7 linked regions of the Macaca fascicularis genome follow. The protein of the gene in region 4 interacts with the protein of the main gene of each other region in a pairwise test. Links are inferred from orthologs where the notes say so. Each region holds a gene or a part of one and is shown on either strand. Other genes may lie near its edges.

Region 1 (3,500 bases), on a different chromosome or scaffold from region 4:
AGTATTAAACAAAATTAGGTCTTAAGAAAATACTAAGGAAAAGTCTTAGACCCTATTTGTTCCTGACTGTTGTTTCAGGGTCTTATACTCTATTATTATAATAAACAGAAATCATCTGGCCAAACACAGGGACTATAAATTTGGAGATGAGAGAAGATTAAATAATTGTTGCTTTCAAATTTTAACCTTATGGAATTATGAAATACAAAGGCTGGAAGGCTCAATTAAAATAAATAAATAGGTTGTCTATGTATAAAAGGAACTCTCCAGCCTAAGTAATAAAGCAGCCAATCAATAAAAAGACTAACATTTGAAGTATTTAATGACAAAATGCCCTGGTTTTCAAAATTAACATTCTAATAACCAGATTCTTTCTTTTCTTCCAAGACAAGAAGGTCAATTTTAAACTTCTAGATAGTCAAATAAGCTCTATCATATAAAGGTTTCAAAGGTAGTAAAGATGTGATCATTTATTCTGATACCATGGTTAATGTTTTAAACGTATCAAAGTAAAAATTACCCAACTCACTAATAACATACTATACCCCTTACTCTTCTTAACTTTTTTTTTTTTTTTTTTGCTAGCTATTTGCGGTATGTGTTTCTACACATCTGCCTTCATCTGATTCACTGTCCACTTATTCTCATTGTCTCTCTGTATGTGTCTATCCTTCTCTGAATATGGCCCAGGATATCCTTATACCTTCTGCTTCTAAGTTTGGTCTTCCCATTCTCCTTTTTGCCATCTCTGTCCTCTTCCTTCCTCTCCCCTCTTTAGCCATATGCTATAACCTGAATGTCTGTATTCCCCCAAAATTCACACATTAAAATCCTCACCCCCAAGGTACGGTATTAGAAGGTGGGACCTTCTGAAGATGATTAGGTCATGAGGGTGTCCTCATGAACGGGATTAGTGCCCTTATAAAAGAGGTTCCAGAGAACTCTTTGCCCCCTTTGTCATGTGAGGATACCGCAAAAAGGTGCCATCTAGGATCCAGAAAGCAAGCCCTCCCCACACACAGAATCTACCTTGATCTTGAACTTCCCAGCCTCCAGAACTGTAAGAAATAAATCGTGTTGTTGATAGAGTGCCCAGTTTATGGCGTTTTGTTAGAGCAACCCAGTAGGCTAAAGAGCCATTGTATTTAACTTACTTGACATAATTACGGAATCCAAGATTTTAATCTCTGCTTGACCATTTTTAGAGAGTAAGATGGTTTTTATTTCTGACTTTAAAAAATATTGTTTATTCAGTTAATTTGTGTTGTGTGATCCATGAATTGATTTATTGAGTGAGTCAGTGTCATGAAAAGGTGCTGCTTACCTATCACAGAATAACAATGTTTCCTAAGGGTTTGGAAACAAAAAGCCAGTTCTTGGGCAAGAAAAAATTAACTTATAGAGTCACTAACTTAAATTACTAAAAAATGGCATTAGAATTCTGGGACTAACATCACTTATACACTCTTATTTTTAAAATTCAGATTTCTGCCGGGCACAGTGGTGCACACCTGTAATGCCAGCTACTAGAGAGGCTGGGGAGGGAAGACTATTTGAGCCCACTAGCTTGAGACCAGACTGGGAAACATAGCAAGACCCCATCTCAAAAAAATAAGTAAATTTCTTTAATAATTTTCTATTAAAAGGATACAATGTCTAATTTGATAACAGCTTATAAAAATGGTGTGAATTTAGTGACTGCTTAAATTCTGATTTGGCTTTGACATTTCCATAGTTTTACCACTAATTAACAGACTCCTCCCTATTATAAGATATAATTAATAGCATTTTACAAATGTATGAACTCAAAGAAGGTCTACAGACAGCAAAAAATGAAGCAGAGACAATCCATTCAAATCAGATGGCCAAGAGTATAGCAGAAACTAGAACTCTTGGTTCGCAGAACATCACCATTTAACCTCTGTACTTCCACAATCAAAAATCTGTGCTTTACAATTTTGTTTCATTGTTTACAATACCAACTTAATTATCCATGAATATAAGTGCAGCAAATAGTGTCCGTTTCAATTGGAGTACATTTAAATAGTTTTCTTTTTTTGTTTTAAGATCTACTAAACTATGTTCTGCAATGAAAAAATTTCAAATAGGTTCCTAGACATAAAGAGAAAATCAGTTTGGTCGGGTGCAGTGGCTCACGCCTGTAATCCCAGCACTTTGGGAGGCCGAGGTGGGCAGATCACCAGAGGTCGGGAGTTCGAGATCAGCCTGACCAACATGGAGAAACCCCGTCTCTACTAAAAATACAAAATTAGCTGGGCGTGGTGGCGCATGTCTGTAATACCAGTTACTTGGAAGGCTGAGGCAGGAGAATTTCTTGAACCCAGAAGGCAGGAGGCAGTAGTGAGTGGAGCTCACACGCCATTGCACTTCAGCCTGGGCAACAAGAAAGAAACTCCGTCCCAAAAAAAAAGAGAGAGAGAGAGAAAATCAGTTACTATAGTCCAGTATTTGATGTTACAGAGTACAGATTAGCCTTCTGAACAAACTAGGCATAGAAGAAAAAAGAAAGAGGAGCCTTAGAAGTCAAATAGCCCCATAATCAAATTTAAAACTTAGCATTTTTCACGAGCTAGAGAACAGCTGTATTAAGGTATCTTTAATTTTCCCAAACAATACATCTCAAACATTGTGATTCTCCACAATATTCCAGAGTTTAATATACGACATACTCTAGGACAGTAAGTCACTGTGAACCAGTTTCTAGAGGGGCTTACACTGAAAAATTTTCCTGTTTTTTGTTTGTTGTTGTTGTTGTTTTTAAGACGGAGTCTTACTCTGTCGCCCAGGCTGGAGTGCAGTGGCGCAATCTCGGCTTACTGCAACCTCTGCCTCCCAGGTTCAAGTGATTCTCCTGTCTCAGCCTCCCGAGTGGCTGGGACTATAGACGTGTGCCACCATGCCTGGCTAATTTTTTGTATTTTTAGTAGAGACGGGGTTTCACCGTGTTGGCCAGGATGGTCTCCATCTCCTAATCTTGTGATCCGCCCGCCTTGGCCTCCCAAAGTGCTGGGATTACACGCATGAGCCACCGCATCCAGCTGATAAATTCCCTTTTAACCGTGATTCTAAGTTGCCAGCCCTTAGCAAGGCAGTATGCAAGAAGAATGACTCAGAGACAGGTGTTCTTAAAATGAAGTAAGCATGTAAGGTAAGGTACTAGCCTGTCATATGCAGCAATCATAAAGTTGAGGAGGAGGCTGATAGATTGTTCCACACTAATTTGGTGAGTAGAAGGAAGGCGCTTGTTCAACTGATAGTAGATGGAGGAGATGACAGTTTCAAGGCGGGACACACTGATCTCGGTGGTATGGTCCAGTGTATTAAGGCCATTGTCTCGGAAGGCTTCAATCATGTTCCAGATATCAACAAGATGAACTAAAAGACAAAGAAAATAAACTGTCAACAATGTTAAAGTGTGGTACTACCCTTCACAATAGGAATCTTAAATTTATCAACTAGTTCTTAAATTTAAAGAGAAG
Region 2 (4,004 bases), on a different chromosome or scaffold from region 4:
TATTTAGAACACATTTAGGGTGAGTGTTGTTTAGAGCTTGACAACATTCTCATTGAAGATTATTCCATTTAAGATTCAACAGCTCAAGAGTCTGCAAATCTAGATCCTTAACCAGAACTTGCTTTTGTATTTTCCTTACAAGAGGAAGAGAACCCAGGCTGGGACTTCAAGGCCCCAGAGAGGCAGTGCAGCAGGTTCCTGGGTTCAAATCTTCCCTCAGCTACTGCTTAGCTGTGTGACCTTGGGCAAGTTACTTAGCCTTTCTATGCCCCAGTTTCTTCATCAGTAATTTGGGGCTAGTAATCTCTTCTTCATAGGTTTGTTGCAAGATTAAATTAATTTACATTAAGGGCCAGGTGTGGTGACTCACACCTGTAATCTCAGCACTTTGGGAGGCCAACGTGGGCAGATCACCTGAGGTCAGGAGTTCGAGACCAATCTGACCAACATAGCAAAACCCAGTCTCTACTAAAAATACAAAAAGAAAATCAGCTGGGAGTGATAGGGCATCTGCAGTCCCAGGTACTGGGGAGGCTGAGGCAGGAGGATCTCTTGAACCTGGGAGGTGGAGGTTGCAGTGAGCCTAGATCACACCACTGCACTCCAGCCTGGGCAACAGAGCAAGACTCCATCTACAAAAAAAAAAATTTACTTTAAGAATTAGAACAGTTTATGACTGGTACATAGTAGATCCTCAATAGACACTAAAAGTTATAATTATAATTGTTAATTATAATTATTATTATAATTATATGAGCAATTATTGGAAAGCTCTCACTCTTTCTAAAGAATTTGCATGAATCAAGGAAGACTAATTTTCTCAATGTCTTTTTAGTACACTCAGAATTTTCAGTACAGCAAATAATTTTCAGTGAAGTCAAAATTATTTAGATAAAATCTTCTCTTCATGCCCTAGCAGAAAATGTTCAGAAACAAAACGAAATAAAGAGACAAAGGAAAAAAAAAAAACTGGCAAGGGGTCAAGTTTTGAGAATTGTTTTCAAGAAGTCATTGTGTTCAGATTGGTGGAGCAGGCTACTGTAAACCGTAAGTAGGAAATGAGAACCCGTTGTGGGTTGATAAAATGGATGTCTTTTCAACTAAACAGATTGCTATCAGCCCAACAGAGCCAACTCATGTTCCTTTTTGCCTGGTCACTTCCTTTACTAAGTGTCTGTAAGAGCCGCCCATTTGGGTGTTTCTCAGGATTATAGGTTTTTAGGTCATATAGAAACCCTGGGGAACGCCTGAAAAGGCTAAACACAAGCAGTTACATTATGCACAAGCTGGATGACGTGACTCCACTGCTGCTGTGTGGAGCAGAGGCTGATGAACCCGAGCTTGTGTGAGCTTCTCTTGCGGCAAGTCCAGGGGTGGCCAGGAGCACGTGTTAGTCTGGTTAAGAGCTCTGCTCAGAAGTAGCTGCTGTAGCTGAAGGTTTTCGGGTGGGCTGAAGGCTGGGCCGCTCCTTCGTTCATTTCAGAAGTTGAACAGTGAGCCTTCTACACACGCTGTCCTTGTCATCCTCAGGCAGTTCCTCCATGGATGAGACACAGGGGCCTCTGGCCATGACTGTCCATCTTCTTGCCAACTCTGGGCACGGTTCGCTTCTGCAGAGGACTCTGGACCAGCTCCTGGATTGCATTTGCCCAGAGGTCCGGCTCTTTCAGGTGTCTGAACGGGCTAGTCCTGTGAAATACTGTGAAAAGTCCCTTTCCAAGCGGTACCGGTTTCCAGGGATGTCCGTGTTGCTTTTCCTGCACAAAAGCCTGGGAGAGGATCGGCTATTTCGCGTCCTGGACTCTCTCCAGCATTCGCCATGGCAGTGCTACCCCACCCAGGACACTTGGGGAAGGCTGTGTCCCTACCTTTTTGCCAACCAGGAGTTCTACAGCCTGGACAGCCAGATGCCCATCTGGGGGGTGAGGCAGGTGCACTGTGGCTCCGAGATCCTGAGGGTGACGCTCTACTGCAGTTTTGATAACTATGAAGACGCCATCAGACTCTATGAGATGATCCTGCAGAGAGAAGCCACCTTGCAAAAGAACAATTTTTGTTTCTTCGTGCTGTATGCCACCAAGAGCTTTGCTCTGCAGCTCTCCCTGAAGCAGCTGCCCCCGGGAATGTCAGTGGACCCTAAAGAGTCTTCGGTGCTGCAGTTTAAGGTTCGAGAGATCGGCCAGTTAGTGCCTCTGCTACCCAATCCATGCATTCCCATCAGCAGCACGAGGTGGCAGACTCAGGATTACGATGGCAACAAGATTCTGCTTCAGGTATTCCTGTTTCATCTTAGATCTTGTAGAGGCTCATGGAGCTGTGTAATTTTACATTGGAATGGGCCTAAGCTAGTGGTTCTCAGACTTGGTTGCACATTAGAGTCCCTCAGGGGCTTTTTAAAATTCCCACCCCAGGCCAGTTTGATCCAAATCTCTGGGAGCATCCAAGCCTGGGTAACTTTTTTTACAGCTTCTTGGATGACTCTAATCTGTAACAGGGTTGAGAATCACTAATCTCATAAAATCTCATCCGACAGATAAGAAAGTTCAGATTCCATGAATTCGCAGCTGACACAGGTACTTTATAGTAGAATCAGACAGGATTCTACTATAAAGATCAGAATCTTTACAAAGAATCAGCCTCCTTTCTCAGGCTTGCTGTTTAAATGCCTGTTAACTATACCCATATCCTTTGCTTACTCTTTGGGCTCGAGAATGTCATAAGCTCTTCTCATCTGACCGAAGGAAGTTGAAGTCATACTTATGCTTACAGACTTTTTTTTAATTTTTAATTTTTTTATTTTTTAGAGATGGGAGTCTTCCTCTGTTGCCCAGACTGGAGTGCAGTGGTGCCGTCATAGCTCCCTGAGGTCTCCACCTTCTGGGTTCAAATGATCCTCCTGTCTTAGCCTCCTGATTAGCTGGGACTACAGGCACGTGCCGCCATATCTGGCTATTTTATTTTATTTCTAGAGACGGGATCTTACTATGTTGGCCGAGCTTGTTTAAGGATGTTAAGTTTGCAGTGCTATTGACTTAATTTTTATTTTTTATTATTATACTTGAAGTTCTGGGGTAAATGTGTGCAACGCAGGTTTGTTACATAGGTATACATGTGCCATGTTGGTTTGCTATACCCATCAACTCGTATTGACTTAATTTTTAAGCATCTTGCATCACTGTCAAATTTTACCACATACCAAGTTAGACAGAATGCTTTCTTTAAAAAATCTTGAAATTAAAGCCTTCCTTTGTAACCATCCTTGAAAACCTAACATAGCAAGTGTGTATTTAGTCACGATAGCCGCCATGCATTGCCTTTCATGGTATGTGAGCCTGGGCGCTTAGTAGCTGTATGACTGTGGTCCTCAGTTTCTTCATTAGCACAATAAAGGCACCAGATAATTTGCATCTTCCTCTCTCATTTACAGTAAATGACCTGACACTCACAAAGTACATAATTAAGATAGTGCCAATAACTCAATTTTAGCTACTATTGTTCACATTATGCCCTATACTAAGGATTTTAAATTGATAATTTTATTTAATGCTTATAACAACCTACGAAGTTACTATTTTTCCCATTTTGGAGATAAGAAAACTGAACTCTCCAGGGGGTCAGTTATTTGCCCAAGACAGGAAGTATCTATCCACCCTGAAAGTTCATGTGGTCAGCTGCTGCAGTCCAGTGTATGTGTGTAAATGTGCATACAGGGGGATGAATGTGATGTTCACAGCAAAATATCCTGTGGCTTCTGTCATTAAGAAATGGTCAGAAGCTCCTTAAGGCCTACTGGATAAAGTAATAAGAGACTACAAGATGAGATGTCTTTCCATTTGGTTAATTTTGTTGTCATCACTTTGACTTGTTAATAAAATATGAATCATACTGATTCTACATTAAATGATTTCTAAATTATTCACCTTCTTGTTCACATAAGGTAGATAGGCACTGTTTCTGTTAGTTGCCTATTATAAAACCCCATAATTTCCAAGGCACCTAAAATT
Region 3 (4,217 bases), on a different chromosome or scaffold from region 4:
TACTAACTTGTTATAACGTGTCTGAACAAGATCTAGTGTGAGGCACTAAGAAGGATTAGACATCAATTTGAAAAGAGTCCCATGGGAGCAACACGAATTCTGCTAAAATGGAAGCAACAATGAACACCAAATTCAAGGTGAAGCTTGGGTGGAAGAAGGGTGAAATCACCAATGCTTTATGAAAGAAAAGTATATGGGGACAATGCTCCAAAGAAACCAGCTGTTTACAAATGGATAACTCATTTTAAGGGACAAGGCCAGGCACAGTGGCTCATGCCTATAATCCCAAAGACTTGGGAGGCAAGGCAGGAGAACTGTTTGGAGGCCAAGAGTTCGAGACTAGCTTAGGCAAGATGGTGAAACCCCATCTCTACACAAAATTAAAAAAAAAAAAATTAGCTGGGCACGGTGGCATGCACCTGTAGTCCCAGCTACTCGAGAGGTTAGGGTGGGAGGATCACTTGAGCCCAGGAGTTAGAGGTTGCAGTGAGCTATGATCGTACCACTACACTCTAGCCTGAGAGACAAAAAACGAGACTGTCATTTAAAAAAAAAAGACTACGGCCCGGTGCAATGGCTCAAGTCTGTAATCCCAGGACTTGGGGAGGCCGAGGTGGGCAGATCACTTGAAGACAGGAGTTCAAGACCAGCCTGACCAATATGACAAAACCTCGTCTCTACTAAAAATACAAAAATTAGCTGGGCGTGGTGGCACACGTCTGTAATTGGGAGGCTGAGGCAAAAGAATCGCTTGAACCCGGGAGGTGGAGGTTGCCACGAGCCGAGATCGCGCCTCTGCACTCTAGCCTGGGCAACAGAGTGAGATCCTGTCTAAAAAAAAAAAAAAAAAAAGAAAAGCCCTAGTAAGTATACAAAGCGACAAAATGTAATACTCAAGGGCACATATGTTCGGCCAGGCGAGGTGGCTCATGCCTGTAATCCCAGCACTTTGGGAGGCCGAGGCAGGAGGATCATGAGGTCAGAAGATCGAGACCATCCTGGCTAACACGGTGAAACTCCATCTCTACTAAAAATACAAAAAATTAGCTGGGCATGGTGGCGGGCGCCTGTAGTCCCAGCTACTTGGGAGGCTGAGGCAGGAGAATGGCGTGAACCCGGGAGGTGGAGCTTGCAGTGAGCCGAGATCCTGCCATTGCACTCCAGCCTGGGCGCCTGGGTGACAGTGCGAGACTCCGTCTCAAAAAAAAAAATGTTCAAATGCCCCATGGAAGAAGGGAGGAGTATGAAAAATACCAGAAATCTAAATGTAAAAAAAAATGTGGGGGTGACTGGAGAGTAGGCTGAGAGTATGCTGTGGATGGGAATGGTGGCAGGAACGTATGCTGAGTGGAAGTGAACAGCCCAGGCAAAAAAAAAAAAAAAAAAAAGATGGTGCCAGTATGGATGGAAAGAAGCCGGTGGGCTTGGTAGATCTACGCGGAGGTACAATACACTTCGCTTGGTGAGGAACTGGACGCCCAGGTGATGGACAATGTAGGAGGAATGATTTCTCAATCTCTGGTTAGCACTGAATTGAACAGATAATGGTACCATTCGTGGAGATAGGGATCAAGAGGCCCAGACTTAGAAAGATAACGAATTTGCTTTGGGATATGTATATTGAACTTAAAAGCCTCTGAAGCATGGAATAAGCAGATAGATTATAGAAGTTTGTCTTTTAGAGTAAAGGTGGCTCAATACAAAGAAATTTGTCACGCCTGTAATCCCAGCATTTTGGGAGGCCGAGGCGGGCGACACAATGGAGGTCTGGAGTTCGAGATCAGCCCGGCCAACATGATGAAACCCTGTCTCTAATAAAAACACAAAAAAGTAGCCAAGTGTGGTGGCGCACACATGTAGTCCCAGCTACTCGGGAGACTGAGGCAGGAGAATCGCTTGAACCCGGGAGACGGAGGTTGCAGTGAGCCGAGATCGCGCCACTGCACTCCAGCCTGGGCGACACAGTGTGACACTCACACAGTGAGTGTCGCCCAGGCTGGAAGAAAAAAAAAAAAAAGAAATTGCCTTTGGGAGTCAAGAGGGCCTAGAGGGAGCCTTGAGTCAACAAAAATTTACAAAGAGGGGCCTGCAAATAAGACGGGGATAGACCCGCCAAGCTGAGCCACTAAAACCCAAGGAAGAGGGCGTGAGCAGAAGAAGCAGGGCTCAAAAGCAAACGCTGCTGAGAACTCAGGTAAGCTGAAAACGGAAAAGGGCTGGATTTAGCAACTTGGAGGACACTGGTCCCTTGAGCCAGGGTTTTCTACAGCGATCAAGGGGATGCCTGGAGTGGGTTAAAGAGTTGATGAGAGGCGAGGAAAGGAAGTGGCTGAAACCAGACAAGAAGTTTGGCTGCGGGGCAGGAAAGGAGAAGAAACAGAAAGTGGCCGCAGGTGGAAGATCCAGAAAAAGGCAAGCGTTTATTTACTTTGTTCTTAAGTAGGAAAAACGTGAGCATGTTTCAAAGACGATCAGAAGAATGCTTTGAGGAGGGGGTGATGACACTAGACGGGGGCTCGGCGGGTCCCCACCGCCCCCCGCCTTCTCCTCCCCTCGCGTTCATCCCCCGTCGCCCCGGGCTCCCCTCCCCCTCTCCACTCCGCGAGGCTCGGGGCCGCAGCCATCCCGCACCGCCGGCCCGGCCCCCGGCACCTCCTCACCGCAATGGCCCCCTCGCTCAGTTGGCCGACCATGGCTCCGCCGCCCCGACTCCCGCGCGGACCCCGCGACAGCTGGAGCTTCCCCACCGGGGTCCCGCGCGCTGCGCAGTTATTGGCCCGAGAAGCTGCGTGCGCCGCTCCCGCCCCCGACGTGCGCGCGTCCCAGGGGCGGGCCCGGGCGCTGCGCAGCCGCCACATTGGCCGAGGCGCGGCGCACGTGACTTGCTCGCGGGCCCAAGGGAGGCCTGGCGCGGAACACGGGGCGCGGGGCGGGGCGCCGAGGGGCGCGCCAGGAGCTGCGCGGGCGCGGGGAGGGAGTCCGCGGCCCAGTTCCGGGCGCCTGTGAGCGGGCTCACGAGGCTTTCTCGCCTCGGTTTCCGGCCAGTGCACGGGTTGGTAGCCCAGAGGAGGTTAAAGCTGTTCCCTGAGACCTCAGCTGCTAAATGGAGTCGCAGCAGTGACCCGGTTCCTCCAGCAACGCGGGGCTGACTTCTCGACCGGGGCCAAACCCTGAGCTTGGCACCGTTGAGGGGGGGGTCTCCGAAGGGGAATCAGACCTGGTCCCTGTCCGTGGAGAAGAGGACAGTGTGTGGGGGCACTTTATGCCGTGAGTAGCCCCAGCGCCAGGTAGACGTGGTACAGGCCCCAAGAGTGTTGGAAATCAGGGAAGCCTTCCCAGAGGACGTGCCGTTTGAACCGAGTCGAAGAACGAACCTGTGGGAATTTTCCAGGTGGACTCCATAAGCCAGGGTAGGATTGGTCCGGAAAGCACGAATAGCCTCTGCCAAAACCTTGGAGAGATGAAATAGCCTGGCAAGCCGGGGATCGCAATGAGTAGTTCAGTATGCAAGGCTGCAGAGGAACAAGTGAGACCTGAGAATTAGAAAGTCAGCCAAGGGTCAAGTAAGGACGGTTTTGTCCTGGGCTTCCTGATATGCTTGGAGTAGCGTTGATGAATTTAAGGCAGAGCACTGACTTCTGTCTCAGTGTTGGAGGCTGGATTGAAAGTTGCGGGGGGGTGCCAATGGCATGGACACTAATTATGACACTCTAGGAAGAATGCCAGACGAGATGGTGAGGACTTAAACCGAAGGAATGACCTGGGGGTTGAAAGAGAACGCTGAACTATATGAGAGAGAGAAATACCTGTTAATTGAATAGTTGCTGGGGTGGGTGAGAAAGAAAAATCTGGGGAAGTGTCTCAGGTTTCAGACTTGAGAAACTAGGGGGATCAGGCCGGGCGCGGTGGCTCACACTTGTAATCCCAGCGCTTTGGGAGACCCAGGCTGGAGGATCACCTGAGGTCAGGAGTTCGAGACCAGCCTGGTCAACATGGTGAAACCCCCATCTCTACTAAAACTACAAGAATTAGCCAAGAGTAGTGGCGCACTCCGTAATCCCAGCTACTCCGAGGCTGAGGCAGGAGAATTGTTTGAACCTGGGAGGCAGAGGGTGCAGTGAGCCGAGATCGTGCCACAGCGCTCCAGCCTGGGGGACAGAGCAAGACTGTCTCACGCACAAAAAAAAACACTAAGAGGACACGGATGATAGCTATCT
Region 4 (3,500 bases):
CTACTCAGGGAGCTTGCAGACCAGGGTCGTCCACCATAAGAAAGCAAGCAGTCAAGCCAGTGCTTCCCATGTTAGTGTCACTGTGTACACTTACTAGCATTCACAATATCGCCTCCCATTATTTGGCGGATGAGGCCATTTCTCTTGCCAGAACAGTCCACGGGAGGCTGGGCACGGTGGCTCACGCCTGTAATCCCAACACTCTGGGAGGCTGAGGCGGGTGGATCACTTGAGGTCAGGAGTTCAAGATCAGCCTGGGCAACATGGCGAAACCCTGTCTCTACTAAAAATACAAACATTAGCTGGGTGTGCTGGTGCGCACCTGTAGTCCCAGCTACTTGGGAGGCTGAGATGGGAGGATCCCTTGGATCCCTTGAGCCTGGGAGGTGGAGGTTCCAGTGAGCCGAGATCGTACCATTGCACTCCAGCCTGGGCAACAGAGTGAGACCCTGTCTCTCTCTCTCTCTCTTTCTCTCTCCTTCTCTCTTTTTTTGTGTGTGTGTGTATCTGTATATCTGTATACTTTTTTAGAAGAGTTAATGGGAGAGCCTAGTTTCTGTGTTTTGATATTATAGAAATGGTGCTGGGCAAAGAGCTTTGGACTGGTCTGCATGAGTGAGACATGAAGGGTGAAGCTCTCCTTGGGCATCAGCGGTCCTTTGCCAGCCTGTGGTCCTGAGAGTCATGGCGGGAGCTGAGTGGGGCAGGGTCAGTGCAGGTGCATCTGCGCTGGGAGCTGGGGAAGGGGTGCAGTGTCTCCATAGACACCCTTATATTCCTTCAACCTGCAGGTGGAGAGTGGCCAGCGGCCTGCCTAACTGGCAGGCATGGGAAGGCTAAGGGCTGGGAGCGCCAGTCTGGCCACGGGGCGGGTCTGAGCAGGGAGGAGGAGACTGTGTGGAGTTGGCTTACGTGGCAGCTCCTATCAAGGACATGCAACCCAGTCCTGAGGCCGGGAAGGCTGTGTGGGAGCCAGAGTGAAGCGGGAGTGAGAGGGAGCTGGCTGGAGGAAGGCACTGGCAGCAGGAGAGCTGGCACAAGAGGAAAGGGAGGCAGCGAGGCTGGGAGGACGCTGTGTTAGGGAGCGTGCACTGCAGCTTGAGGGCAGTGGGGTAGGAGAGAGGAGAAGGACAGGTTCCGGTTTGCACGTTAGAAAGAGTGCCTCACTACATGTAGTGTGAGGGCAAAGGAGTGATCATTCAGAAAAAAACAGGAATCGTCTCAGAAAGTAGCCAGCAGAGTGGCCGGAGCTCAGGGGAGTCTGTGGGTTCTAGGGACATTCAGGATGGCAGGACTTGATTATGGACTTCGTGATGAGAAGGTTTGGTGATGTGGGAGGGGTCCCAAGGGAGAGAAGGAAGTCAAGGAGGGCTTGAAGGGTTCTGGATTGAGCTTCCTAAATGAGAATACATCTTTGAAATACGTTCATCGTGGTCCTTCCCAAAGCCAGGGGCTGGGTGCCTCCTGGACAAGAGGCGCCTCTGAGGATTCTCTCTGAGGATTGTCTGCCTCTGTGGGATCAGAGGTTGTGAAACGCCCCCGGCTCACTGTGCTTTTGTGGTCTCTTCCTGACAGAGCACCAAGGAGGAGTGAGCCGAGGGCAGACGCGGGGGGACACCCTCCTCCATCGTGTGGCTGTGGGGGTTCCCCTTTGGCACCTCTTTCTCCAGCCCCCAGGGAAACGCTCTGAGGGTGCTCAGGGCACAGTGGTGGCCCACTGATCACAGCTGCCCAGGCTGTGGTGGCTGCTGTCTGTAGTGGCCCCAGCTGGACTCCTTGTATCATTACTTGCAGGACCAGGTGGACACGCTGACCTTCCAGAGCCAGTCTCTGCGGGACAGAGCCCGCCGCTTCGAAGAGGCCTTGAGGAGGAACACAGAGGAGCAGCTGGAGGTAGTTTTCCAGGCTTCCAGCCCCGCAGGGACCCCGCCCCAGCGAGGCCAGCGGGGCTCCCTCAGCAGTCCAGTCCCGAGACAAGGCCTCTCTGTGAATCCACTGCTGAAGTGACAGCTGGTCACGGCCTCCCCTGGATTTTTAAACAATTGCTGTCAGCACCTCTCCCCTGAGACAGACAGCAGCTGTGGGTTTCTCCAGCGACGTGTTATTTTTGCCAAATTCCGCAGCATTCCCCAGCTGGAGTCCCAGGGCTCCTGTGATAAGCATGGTCTGGAAACCCCCACCCTGGCCCGGCCACCCCTTCCAGCCCATTCTCCCGGCCCGGCCACCCCTTCCAGCCCGTTCCCCCGGCCCGGCCACCCCTTCCAGCCCGTTCTCCCGCAACTTTTTAGGCTGACGTGGGGCAGCCTTGGCTGCAGCATGCGTTAACAGGTTGAGGGGAATTTTTTCCAGAAAAGCTGGCAAAGTTCCTTCCCTCTAATGTAGGGTTGCCAAATAAAATACAGGACACCCAGTTAAATTTGAATTACAGATAAATTTTTGAGTGTAAGTCTGTCCCATGCAATACTTATACTGAATTTTTTAAAATGTCATTTATCTGAATTTGGATTTAACAGGACCTACTGTATTTTAATTTGTTACATCCAGCAGCACTACCCCAACGTGACTTTTGTCTAAAATGGCTTTTCTGCTTCTTAAACCACTTGACTCATTTCCTATGCATGGGCTCTTTACGGGCATAGGTGAGACCTGTAAGAGTCCCAGCTACCTCGTGAATCAAGTCTTCCGGGTGAATGTTAAAAGCCAGTGTTGGGTTTACTCTTTCTACCCCATGAGCTCCCTGCTGGGCATAGGCTGGCAGCACCCAGCAGTTCTGGAGTCAGACTTTCCAGTGGACGATGGCCGTGTCTCACCTGCTCCCCCACAGAACTGGATTTTAGGAGGCTTCTCAGTGGGAAACTTTATCAGGGAAGGCTGTAGCATCCTCTCTCTTTGGTGTCGCAGTTGCCATCAGGGCACTTGTCCCAGGAGGATGGATTTAGCTGGATTCGTGGTATTGGTTAATACTGGGTTTTGTCGGGAGCCCTGGTCAACAGCTCATGGCTCTCTGCCCCTGTAGATTGCATTGGCTCCTTATCAGCACTTGGAAGAAGACATGAAGAGTCTGAAGCAGGTATTAGAGATGAAGAATCAGCAAATACATGAGCAGGAAAAGAAGATTCTCGAGCTGGAAAAGCTGGTGAGTTGGTCCATTTGCTCGCGAGAGTAACTAACCTCCATGACATTCCTGCTGTCATCACTGAGGTCATCGTTGACACTGAGGTGTTCAGCCAGGTGTGTCTGTTACCTGCCCATTGCTTACACCTATGCAGAAAATCCCACCGCGGGCCTTTCCCAGGAAGCCAGGAGCTCTCATAAGGAATCTTGGAGGTGGCCTTATCTTGTCCAACTCTGGAGCCTTTCTGATGGGTGGCCTCTTTCTGCTTTGCGCTGGTTTTCCCACAGTCCTGCTGTCTCCTTGCCCTCTCTTGGGGACGTGTGGTGACCCAGCACAATGCAGCATCCCCAGTGCCCAGGCACTGCACGGAGCACTTTCCCCGAGC
Region 5 (3,500 bases), on a different chromosome or scaffold from region 4:
TCTTAGTAAGACAGAACAGGATAGTTATCTCTTGAATCACCTTGTCATCTGGCTGGTAATCTGCAATGGTTCCTCTGACATAATGGACCAGTGAGTCAATGAGTCCGTCACATCTTCTCATTGCTTTTCTCCCATCAGGGCCAGCAGAACTCATGTTTCTACCAGAAAAAAGTAAGCAAAAAACCGTAAGTCTTAGGCTGTGTATCCAACAGGCCTTTGTTTTGAAGTTTTACTTGACGCTTCTTCCAAGTGTTTGGAAACTGGCAAATATGTAAAAGTGTGACAGACTTGCCCAGTCAACAAATCACTGACTGCCTAAAGGATCAACTATGAACATACTTTCTGAATATTTCCAAACAACACGTAATCGTGTCATAAGTCTTCCGTCTACTTCACTCCAAGCACCATGATCAAAACATTATTTACTTAATCTTCGCTCCATTTTGACTGTTTTGGATATGAGGCAAATGTTTTTGTAACTAGAACGAGAGCAAATGGCACATTAGACATTATAATATACTGGATGCCAAGTCCCAATTTGCTCTAATTTTAACTCTAAGTAATTTAAAGTTGCTCTGGGCCTCAGTTTCCTCATTTGTAAAGACAGTGTGTTGGACTACATTCTTTGTGGTTTTCTAAGTTTCAGTATAAACTGTTATTGACAAATATTAAATCAGATGCTCTAAAATATGATTATTTTACCATTAAAATGGCAGAGAGATGTTACAGAAAACATGGAAGAGTCTGCAGTGTGTAAGGCTTCAGTCAAGAGTATGGCCCATGAACATCTTTACACTTCTCTATTTCTAATATGGCTAAGTCATGACACCTTTCTACAAACAGTAACTAAACCTACAATTGGAAGTTGTTTACTGAGAAATGAAACTTATCAAATACAGGAAAGTAATGCATTTGGGGATTACAGTGCAGATTCACATCATGTTTATAGTCTGGTATTATTGTTACTACCTTCCCTTAGATTAAGTTTTTCTTACTAGCATTAACTACTTAAACATATTTTTTTTTCCAAAAGTGTCAATACCTCAGTCAACAAGAATGACAAAAAAATAGGGCCTTCAGGTTTTTAAAACTTGAGAATCACCTCTATTCCCAACTTTGTTAAGAACTGTCCATACAAAATGTATCAGATTTTTTTTTTTTTTTTTGAGACGGAGTCTCGCTCTGTCACCAGGGCTGGAGTGCAGTGGCGCGATCTCAGCTCACTGCAACCTCCACCTCCCGGGTTCAAGCGATTCTCCTGCCTCAGCCTCCCTGAGTAGCTGGGACTACAGGCGTGCATCACTACGCCCAGCTAATTTTTGTATTTTTAGTAGAGATGGGGTTTCACCATGTTGGTTAGCCAGGATGGTCTCGATCTCTGGACATTGTGAACCACCCGCCTCAGCCTCCCAAAGTGCTGGGATTACAGGCATGAGCTACCACGTCTGGCCCAGATCAGTTTCTTTTACTGGTAGGTAGAATATCCAAAATATGTTCAGGACTTTTTGTTTACAATGTGTTAGTGTCATTCTGAACATCAAAAAGAACTGCAACTTCGAGACATTTTTGAGCCTTATTTTCCTCATCTTTAAAATAATATAGGCGGCCGGGCGCGGTGGCTCAAGCCTGTAATCCCAGCACTTTGGGAGGCTGAGATGGGCGGATCACAAGGTCAGGAGATCGAGACCAGCCTGGCTAATACGGTGAAATCCCGTCTCTACTAAAAAAATACAAAAACTAGCCGGGTGAGGTGGCGGGCGCCTGTAGTCCCAGCTACTCGGGAGGCTGAGGCAGAAGAATGGCGTAGACCCGGGAGGCGGAGCTTGCAGTGAGCTGAGATGCGGCCACTGCACTCCAGCCTGGGCGACAGAGCGAGACTCTGTCTCAAAAAAAAAAATAAAAATAAAATAAAATAAATAAATAAATAAATAAATAAAATAATATAGGCCAGAAGCTGTGGCTAACACCTGTAATCCCAGCATTTTGGAAGTCCAAGCCAGGAGGATTGCTTGAGCCCAGGAGTTTAAGACCAGCCTGGGCAACATGGCTAAACCCTGTCTCTATGAAAAAATACAAAAAACTAGCTAGGCATGGTGGCATGTGCCTGTAGTCCCAGCTACCTGGGAGGCTGAGGAATAAGACTGCTTGAGCCTGGAGGGTGAGGCTGCAGTGAGCCGAGATTGTGTTACTACACTCTAGCCTGGGTAACAGAGCAAGACCCTGTCTAAAAAATTAACAAAATAAAGTAATATAAGTGATTTCCAAAAGGCCTTCTGCCTCAAAATACTGCTTTCAATGTATATTTGTCAAAGAAACAAAGGTGCCTAAGCATTATATCAAGAACTAAAGGGAGCTGGGCACGGTGGCTTACGCCTGTAATCCCAGCACTTTGGGAGGCTGAGGTGGGTGGATCACGAGGTCAGGAGATCGAGACCATCCTGGCTAACATGGTGAAACCCTGTCTCTACTAAAAATACAAAACAAAAATTAGCCGGGCGTGGTGGTGGATGACTATAGTCCCAGCTACTGGGGAGGCTGAGGCAGGAGAATGGCGTGAACCCGGGAGGTGGAGCTTGCAGTGAGCTGAGATCGTACCACTGCACTCCAGCCTGGGCCACAAAGCTAGACTCTGTCTCAAAAAAAAAAAAAAAACTAAAGGGAATGAGAGGAAGATACACAATATTATACCTTGCTTTCAGGGAGATCACATCTATAGGTTGAACTCTGGAAACTAACAAAAACCGACTGTTTTAACCCTCAAAAATGGCAATTTCATGATTCAACCTGACAGTTGAGGCGATAAGACTAACATACCTAAAACTAAGAATATACTAACAATTTAATGGCTGCTGAATTGATATAATGAAAGCTTTTAACAAAATCTCTTATGTGACTGATTCTCATTTGACCCTTCTACTTCCTTATTAATTTTTACTGTACCTGAAAAACTTGGACAGTTTGTTCATTAAAAAAAAAATAATGAATGGGTTCATAAGCTGGAAATAAAACAATTTTTTTACTTAGCTTTTTTCAAAGAAATGATCATTTCAGCCAAGATCCTCTATCTACTTTGTGAGCCCTTTAAGAATCATGGGGCTTCAGAAGCTTGACAGAAACTGAAAAAGCATCTTTTCCAGTCTCCTTATTTTATACATGAAAAACTAGAAGCCAAAAGAGCTTCCGTTACTTTTCCCAGTGACAGCAAATTAGTGGTAAAGTCAGGAAAAGAGGGCTGTTCTTTATTCTGCACCCAGGGTGGCCCAGAACACAGCAAACCCCATCTAGCATTCATTCAGTCTGCAAATACCATATGTCCCCAACTATGTGATGTTATCATATGTTTAAAAGCTTCCCCTTGGCCTTTTCAACCTCTAGCCGGGATAAATGGCAGTAGTTTAAAATTGCTTTGACAAATCAAAAGGTCTTTCTTCCTGGCTAAGCCCACTGCGTACCTTGCAGATGGATGACTTAGCTTTGTTTAACTCCAGGGTGTTTATTTC
Region 6 (3,500 bases), on a different chromosome or scaffold from region 4:
ACGAGGTCGGGAGATCGAGACCATCCTGGCTAACACGGTGAAACCCCGCTCTACTGAAAATACAAAAATTAGCCGGGCGTGGTGGTGGGCGCCTGTAGCCCAGCTACTCGGGAGGCTGAGGCAGGCGAACGGCGTGAACCCGGGAGGCGGAGCTTGCAGCGAGTGGAGATCACATCACTGCACTCCAGCCTGGGCGACTCAGCGAGACTCCGTCTCAAAAAAAAAAAAGAGCACTCTGACCACCGTGGCAACGCTTCTGTAAGTCTAAAGGGATTTCGCAATGAGAGGTGAAGCAAGTTCCCCCTTAGCTGAGTGGTCAGAACTGGGCTGTGCAGGCGCTAAGACACACGACTCCAAGCAGCCACAGGCAACAAAGAAAACAGCAAGTCAACAGTTCTCTTGGAGCCAGATCACTCGGGGAAAAAAAGTCTCCCTCATCTACGATACCTAAAACGTAACTAGAATTCTGATTAAAAATAAACCCTACAAAGCAGAGACTTCCAAAAGATGCTTGTACTTATGTAAACACAGCCCAATTCACAACAGCCCACGTGTCCACCGACGGCGAATAAACAAGAGGCAGCCTCTGCACAGCAGGCAGCATTGTTCAGCCTCAAGGAGGAAGGAAATCCTGACACGTGCCCAGCACTGACGGCCCCTGGAGATGTTATGTGCGTGAAAGAAGGCGGAGAGCAAAGGACAGACACCGCAGGACTCCAGTTCTATGAGGTCCCTACGACAGTCACTCAGAGACAGACAGCGGGACACAGGCTGCAAGGGGCTGAGGATGGACAATGGGGAGGGCTCAATGGGGCCAGGTTTTTGGTTTGAAGAGAAAGTTCTGGAGACACACGGTGGTGGTGGTTGCTCAACAGGCGAATGTACTTAATGCCGATGAACTTCAGAATGATTAAAATGGTAAATTTATGTGAATGTATTTTTTTAATTGTTTTGTCGAGACAGGGTCTCGCTGTGTTATCCAGGCTGCAGTGCAGAGGCTGTTCACAGGCAAGACCATCGCACAGTACACCACCGAGCTCGGGCTCCAGCACTCCTTCTGCCTCCGCCTCCCAAACAGCCGGGAACACAGCCACCGCCAAGCTTGGCTATCTGTATATTTTACCACAACAATATCCACATTAAAAAAAAATAATAATAATCTTGCAAAAGTAGGTCAGGAGAAAAATAGTTCCAGGTCACCTTTACTGGGTCAGCTCCATTTAAAAAAAAAAATTGTCAAAGCCAGACCAGAAGTCATCTTCAAGGGGTCACAACATGTGGGGCGCCTCCCTCCCCGCAGTGCAGCGCGCTGATGCTCTGCTGGGCCCTCTAACCAGAGTCTCACCTTCTCGGGGGGCACAGGGAGAGGCGTGGCGGCACAATCACACAGACCCATTACAGACCTAAAGACAGGAGCGCGCACTCAGACCGACCCATTACAGACCTAAACACAGGAGCGCGCACTCTGACCGACCCATTACAGACCTAAACACAGGAGCGCGCACTCTGACCGACGCATTACAGACCTAAAGACAGGAGCGCGCACAATCACACAGACCCATTACAGACCTAAAGACAGGAGCGCGCACTCTGACCGACCCATTACAGACCTACAGACAGGAGCGCGCACTCTGACCGACCCATTACAGACCTACAGACAGGAGCGCGCACTCTGACCGACCCATTACAGACCTAAACACAGGAGCGCGCACTCTGACCGACGCATTACAGACCTAAAGACAGGAGCGTGCAGTCAGACCGACCCATTACAGACCTAAAGACAGGAGCGCGCACTCAGACCGACCCATTACAGACCTAAAGACAGGAGCGCGCAGTCAGACCGACCCATTACAGACCTAAAGACAGGAGCGCGCACTCAGACCGACCCATTACAGACCTAAAGACAGGAGCGCGCAGTCAGACCGACCCATTACAGACCTAAAGACAGGAGCGCGCAGTCAGACCGACCCATTACAGACCTAAAGACAGGAGCGCGCACTCAGACCGACCCATTACAGACCTAAAGACAGGAGCGCGCACTCAGACCGACCCATTACAGACCTAAAGACAGGAGCGCGCACTCAGACCGACCCATTACAGACCTAAAGACAGGAGCGCGCACTCAGACCGACCCATTACAGACCTAAACACAGGAGCGCGCACTCTGACCGACCCATTACAGACCTAAACACAGGAGCGCGCACTCTGACCGACCCATTACAGACCTAAAGACAGGAGCGCGCACTCAGACCGACCCATTACAGACCTAAAGACAGGAGCGCGCACTCTGACCGACCCATTACAGACCTAAACACAGGAGCGCGCACTCTGACCGACCCATTACAGACCTAAAGACAGGAGCGCGCACTCTGACCGACCCATTACAGACCTAAAGACAGGAGCGCGCACTCAGACCGACCCATTACAGACCTAAAGACAGAAGCGGCACCAGCTGCTCCAGAACCTGTCTAGCGGTCTTTCTGGGTTTTGCTGGAAAGCCCCTAAAAAACAGTAATAATGCAAAAAAAGGCTGGGTGCCGAGGCTCATGCCTGTAATCTCAGCACTTTGGGAAGCTGCGGCAGGCCGACCGCCTCAGGTCAAGAGTTGAAGACCAGCCTGGCCAACCTCGTCTCCACTAAAAATACAAAAATTAGCCGGGTGTGGTGGCACGTGCCTGTAATCCCAGCTACTTGGGAGACTGAGGCAGGAGAATCGCTTGAACCTGGGAGGCGGAGGTTGCAGTGAGCCGAGATCGTGACATGTACTTCACCCTGGGCAACAAGAGTGAGACTCCATCTCAAAAAAATAAAAAGATTACATCTGACATACCGCTTCTATTCCTACTTATCTTTTTTACTATTGCCTTGACGTTTTTTAAATTAAAAGTTGTGCTTTTTTTTTTTTTTTGAGATGGAGTCTCCCTCTCTCACCCAGGCTGGAGTGCAATGGTGAGATCTCGGCTCACTGCCACCTCCACCTTCCGGGTTCAAGCGATGCTGCAGAGCAGCGGGGATTACAGGCACCCGCCATCATGCCCGGCTGATTTTTGTATTTTTGTAGAAATGGGGTTTCAGCATGTTGGCCAGGCTGTTCATAAAATCCGGACCTCCGTGGTCTGCCTGTCTTGGCCTCCCAAAGTGCTGGGATTATATAGGCGTGAGCCACTGTGCTGGGTCTAAAAGCTGTATTTCTTTTTTTTTTTTCTTGAGACGGAGTCTCACTCTGTCACCTAGGCCGGAGTGCAGTGGTGCGATCTTGGCTCGCCACAACCTGTTCTGAAAGACATCAGAAAACCTTCTCTGATGGTGCACTGGGGGTGTGGGGTGCACGAGCACTGACCGTCCATTTCTACCAGAAGCTGGTTGAGCGTCTGCTCCTCCTCCGTGTTGGAGAACCCGGACATGGTGGTGGAGCGCTTCTTGCCCACCGCGTCAATCTCATCGATGTAGACGATGCAGGGGGCCCGGGCTCGGGCTTCCTTGAAGAGGCTTCGCACGCG
Region 7 (3,500 bases), on a different chromosome or scaffold from region 4:
TGACCCAGGCTGGTCTTGAATTCCTGAGCTCAAGTGATCCTCCTGCCTCAGCCTCTGAAATGCTGGGACTACAGGCATTGAACCATGCACCGCTACTTCTTTAGTGGGAGTCTGCTCCACAGCTGTGATAAACGGGTGTCCCTAGTTACTAAATTTGACTTTGTGGTATTTTTCCCATCAGGATGTTTACATTCCATGTGGCTAAAGCTATTGATCTTCCCGATTCTGGCTTCTGAGCTGAGGTTTTCTTAAACTCTTTCCGGATGAAATCTTTATTTCAGGATCATCAGTCTGGTAGTGTCCACGGCCTCAACTTTACCTCCGTGATGGAAGAGGGGGACCTGAGGCTCCCAGGTGGGCCGGCGCCACACTACAGGAAAGGAAGGGTCCCTGGGAGGGGCTGCTGCCCTGCGCGGGTTCACAGGCCCCTCACTGCAGGGGTCCCAGAGCAAGGGATGCCCCCTGGAATGGCCCTGTGGCCAGAAAGCGAGCCTGCCCAGCTTCCCCCGGAGGGGCCTGCGGTCCACACTCACGTGGCCACTCTAGGGGGCAGCAGGGTCTCCCCCTGCTCCTTTCCATGGACCTGCCACAGCCCACAGCCCTGAGGAAGCCTGGGGGTGGAGGGTGCCCCGGCCAGGGTCTCTGTGACTCACATTCAGGGTGGGCCGGGCTTCCACGGGTTGGGGGCGGGCTGGAGGACAGTGGCGGCCCCAGGTGGCCACGCAGCATGGTGGTGGTGGTGGTGGTGCACGACGGGCAGCCTTGGCCTGGCAGCTCGTGGGACCCCCGGGGGCACACATGGCGGGTCCTGCCACAGACACACCTGCAGCTCAGGATGCGGCCCAGGTTGCTCCCCACCTCCACTCCTGCCCTGTTCCTAACTGGGGCGGGGTTCCGTGTGATAGGCAGGATGGCAGGGGTCTAAGCATCCTTCCAGAGGAGGCCCCTCCCCAGTCCCAAATTGTGCAACCCATTCCTCATCTGGCTGGGACTCGATGGGGATGGGGGCTTCACGGCCAGACTGCAGACCTGAGCCAGGAACGCCCTTTCAGAGCTACACAGATGCAGAAATTTCCAGAGGAAAAACCACTCAGACCCTGTGTTTCCTTGACTTTGGGGTCTGCTAGGGGCTGAACCTACCTGCAGGGCTGGGGGCAGGGCCTTGAGCATCCAGTTCTGCAGGACCAACTGGTGCACCTGTGCGTTCTGCAGCAGCAGCAGCTCCACCATGTCTGTAGGGAGACACGGGGACCCTGAAGAAAGCTTCTGTTTCTCATATTTGTTAAAGTGATAGAGCATGTTATAGGACCAGAGAACACGTGTGTCTACACTGTGCAGGTCCCCGGGGCGTGCCCTGAGTCTGTACACGGTGCAGCTCCCCCGGGGCATGCTTTGAGTGTGTCTGTACACCGTGCGGGTCCCCGGGGCAGGCTCTGAGTGTGTCTGTACACCGCGCGGGTCCCCGGGGCAGGCTCTGAGTGTGTCTGTACACCGTGTGGGTCCCCGGGGCAGGCTCTGAGTGTGTCTGTACACCGTGCGGGTCCCCGGGGCGTGCCCTGAGTCTGTCTACACCGTGCGGGTCCCCGGGGCAGGCTCTGAGTCTGTCTGTACACCGTACAGCTCCCCGGGGCAGGCTCTGAGTCTGTCTGTACACCGTGCGGGTCCCCGGGGCAGGCTCTGAGTCTGTCTGTACACCGTACAGCTCCCCGGGGCAGGCTCTGAGTCTGTCTGTACACCGCGCGGGTCCCCGGGGCAGGCTCTGAGTCTGTCTGTACACCGTGCGGCTCCCCGGGGCAGGCTCTGAGTCTGTCTGTACACCGTGCGGGTCCCCGGGGTGTACTCTGAGTTGTGGAATCTCTAGGTCAGAGGGTGTGCATGTTGAAAGGTGTGTGATGGGCCCCACAGCTCCTTAGGAGGCTACTCCCATCTGCCTTCCCGCCTCCTCCCCCCAGGCTGCGTGGGGATCCCAGAAAGGCATGTCCATGTCTCAGTCTCCCCTCACCTCAGAGTGTGACCTTATTTGGAAAAAGAGTCTTTGCAGATGTCATTAAGGATCATGAGATGGGCCGGGCGCAGTGACTCACGCCTGTAATCCCAGCACATTGGGAGGCCAAGGTGGGTGGGTCACCTGAGGTCAGGAGTTCGACACCAGCCTAGCCAACATGGCAAAACCCTGTCTCTACTAAAAATACAAAAATTAGCCAGACACGGTGCCTCACACCTGTAATCCCAGCACTTTGGGAGGTCGAGGCAGGTGGATCACCTGAGGTCAGCAGTTTGAGACCAGCCTGGTCAGCATGGCAAAACCCCATCTCTACTAAAAATACAAAAATTAGCAGGGCGTGGTGGTGGGCATCTGTAATCTCAGCTAGCTGGGAGGCTGAGGCAAGAGAATTGCTTGAACCCAAGCGGCAGAGGTTGCAGTGAGCTAAGATGGCGACAGTGCACGCCAGCCTGGACAACAGAGCGAGACTCCGTCTCAAAAGAAAAAAAGCGGCTGGGCGCGGTGGCTCACGCCTGTAATCCCAGCACTTTGGGAGGCCAAGGCAGGTGGATCACGAGGTCAGGAGATCAAGACCATCCTGGCTAACATGGTGAAACCCCGTCTCTACTAAAAACACAAAAATTAGCCGGGCGTGGTGACAGGCGCTGGTAGTCCCAGCTACTCGGGAGGCTGAGGCAGGAGAATGGCATGAACCTGGGAGGCAGAGCTTGCAGTGAGCTGAGATCGTGCCACTGCACTCCAGCCTGGGTGACAGAGTGAGACTCCGTCTCAAAAAAAAAAAGAAAAAAGAAAAAAGGCCTGGTGCAGTGGCTCAGGCCTATAATCCCAGCCCTTTGAGAGGCCCAGTTGGGTGGACCACCTGTGGTCAGGAGTTCGAGACAAGCAAAACCCTGTCTCTACTAAAAATACAAAAATTAGCCAGGCGTGGTGGCTCAAGCCTGTAATGCCAGCTACTTGGGAGTAGCTGAGGCAGAATCGCTTGAACCCGTGAGGCAGAGGTTGCAGTGAGCTAAGATCGTGCCACTGCACTCGAGCCTGGACGAGATTGAAACTCCATCTCAAAAAAAAAAAAAAAAAACACTAAAACATCTAAGCCAGTTGTCGTGGTGCACGCCTGTAGTCCCAGCTACTCAGGAGGCTGAGGTAGGAGGATCGCTTGAGCCCAGGAGTTCAAGGCTGCAGGGAGCCGTGATCATGCATGCCCCTGAACTCTAGCCTGGGTAGCCTGGGTAACAACGAGATACTGTCTCCCCAAAAAATAAATAATAAAATGTGTTCATCCACAGACACCATGAAGAGACTGAAAAGGCAACCACAAGAAGGATGGAATACTCAAAATACATGTATCAAAAAAGGACTCATTAAAGAACTTATAAAGAATCCCTAGAAACCAATAAGGCAGGCAGACAGTCTGAAAGAAAAATGGGCAAATTACTTAAATGGACACTTCACAAAAAAGGATATTCAAGTAGCCAAGGCCAGGCATGGTGGCTCA

Evidence for each region.
Region 1: the proteins of MTUS2 (region 4) and DTNB interact in binary tests that used the Homo sapiens proteins (3 or more experiments, as listed by UniProt). The two-hybrid records come from large-scale screens. The link is inferred for Macaca fascicularis from reciprocal best matches to the Homo sapiens genes MTUS2 and DTNB.
Region 2: the proteins of MTUS2 (region 4) and FAM124B interact in binary tests that used the Homo sapiens proteins (3 or more experiments, as listed by UniProt). The link is inferred for Macaca fascicularis from reciprocal best matches to the Homo sapiens genes MTUS2 and FAM124B.
Region 3: the proteins of MTUS2 (region 4) and RPA1 interact in binary tests that used the Homo sapiens proteins (3 or more experiments, as listed by UniProt). The two-hybrid records come from large-scale screens. The link is inferred for Macaca fascicularis from reciprocal best matches to the Homo sapiens genes MTUS2 and RPA1.
Region 5: the proteins of MTUS2 (region 4) and PKP2 interact in binary tests that used the Homo sapiens proteins (3 or more experiments, as listed by UniProt). The two-hybrid records come from large-scale screens. The link is inferred for Macaca fascicularis from reciprocal best matches to the Homo sapiens genes MTUS2 and PKP2.
Region 6: the proteins of MTUS2 (region 4) and SPG7 interact in binary tests that used the Homo sapiens proteins (3 or more experiments, as listed by UniProt). The two-hybrid records come from large-scale screens. The link is inferred for Macaca fascicularis from reciprocal best matches to the Homo sapiens genes MTUS2 and SPG7.
Region 7: the proteins of MTUS2 (region 4) and C3H21orf58 interact in a two-hybrid assay, tested with the Homo sapiens proteins (3 studies listed by BioGRID and IntAct). The two-hybrid records come from large-scale screens. The link is inferred for Macaca fascicularis from reciprocal best matches to the Homo sapiens genes MTUS2 and C21orf58.

The regions. Positions count from the first base shown.
Region 1 is NC_088387.1:96,619,695-96,623,194, reverse strand, and holds part of DTNB (dystrobrevin beta), read right to left. Parts: intron 3,397-3,500; coding exon 3,183-3,396; intron 1-3,182.
Region 2 is NC_088386.1:120,349,930-120,353,933, reverse strand, and holds the start of FAM124B (protein FAM124B), read left to right. Parts: upstream 1-1,204; 5' UTR 1,205-1,541; coding exon 1,542-2,273; intron 2,274-2,804; coding exon of another isoform or gene 2,805-2,891; exon of another isoform or gene 2,892-2,985; intron 2,986-4,004.
Region 3 is NC_088390.1:1,945,412-1,949,628, reverse strand, and holds the start of RPA1 (replication protein A 70 kDa DNA-binding subunit), read right to left. Parts: upstream 2,801-4,217; 5' UTR 2,694-2,800; coding exon 2,661-2,693; exon of another isoform or gene 2,653-2,660; intron 1-2,652. Other genes in the region: SMYD4 (SET and MYND domain-containing protein 4), read left to right, coding at 3,690-3,734. UniProt on the Homo sapiens protein: As part of the heterotrimeric replication protein A complex (RPA/RP-A), binds and stabilizes single-stranded DNA intermediates that form during DNA replication or upon DNA stress.
Region 4 is NC_088391.1:9,331,526-9,335,025, forward strand, and holds part of MTUS2 (microtubule-associated tumor suppressor candidate 2), read left to right. Parts: intron 1-1,794; coding exon 1,795-1,893; intron 1,894-3,016; coding exon 3,017-3,136; intron 3,137-3,500. UniProt on the Homo sapiens protein: Binds microtubules. Together with MAPRE1 may target the microtubule depolymerase KIF2C to the plus-end of microtubules. May regulate the dynamics of microtubules at their growing distal tip.
Region 5 is NC_088385.1:35,430,859-35,434,358, forward strand, and holds part of PKP2 (plakophilin-2), read right to left. Parts: intron 159-3,500; coding exon 41-158; intron 1-40. UniProt on the Homo sapiens protein: A component of desmosome cell-cell junctions which are required for positive regulation of cellular adhesion.
Region 6 is NC_088394.1:85,469,362-85,472,861, reverse strand, and holds part of SPG7 (mitochondrial inner membrane m-AAA protease component paraplegin), read right to left. Parts: coding exon 3,341-3,500; intron 1-3,340. UniProt on the Homo sapiens protein: Catalytic component of the m-AAA protease, a protease that plays a key role in proteostasis of inner mitochondrial membrane proteins, and which is essential for axonal and neuron development.
Region 7 is NC_088377.1:814,580-818,079, reverse strand, and holds the end of C3H21orf58 (uncharacterized protein C21orf58 homolog), read right to left. Parts: intron 1,233-3,500; coding exon 1,141-1,232; intron 809-1,140; coding exon 656-808; 3' UTR 654-655; exon of another isoform or gene 515-653; intron 371-514; 3' UTR 46-370; downstream 1-45.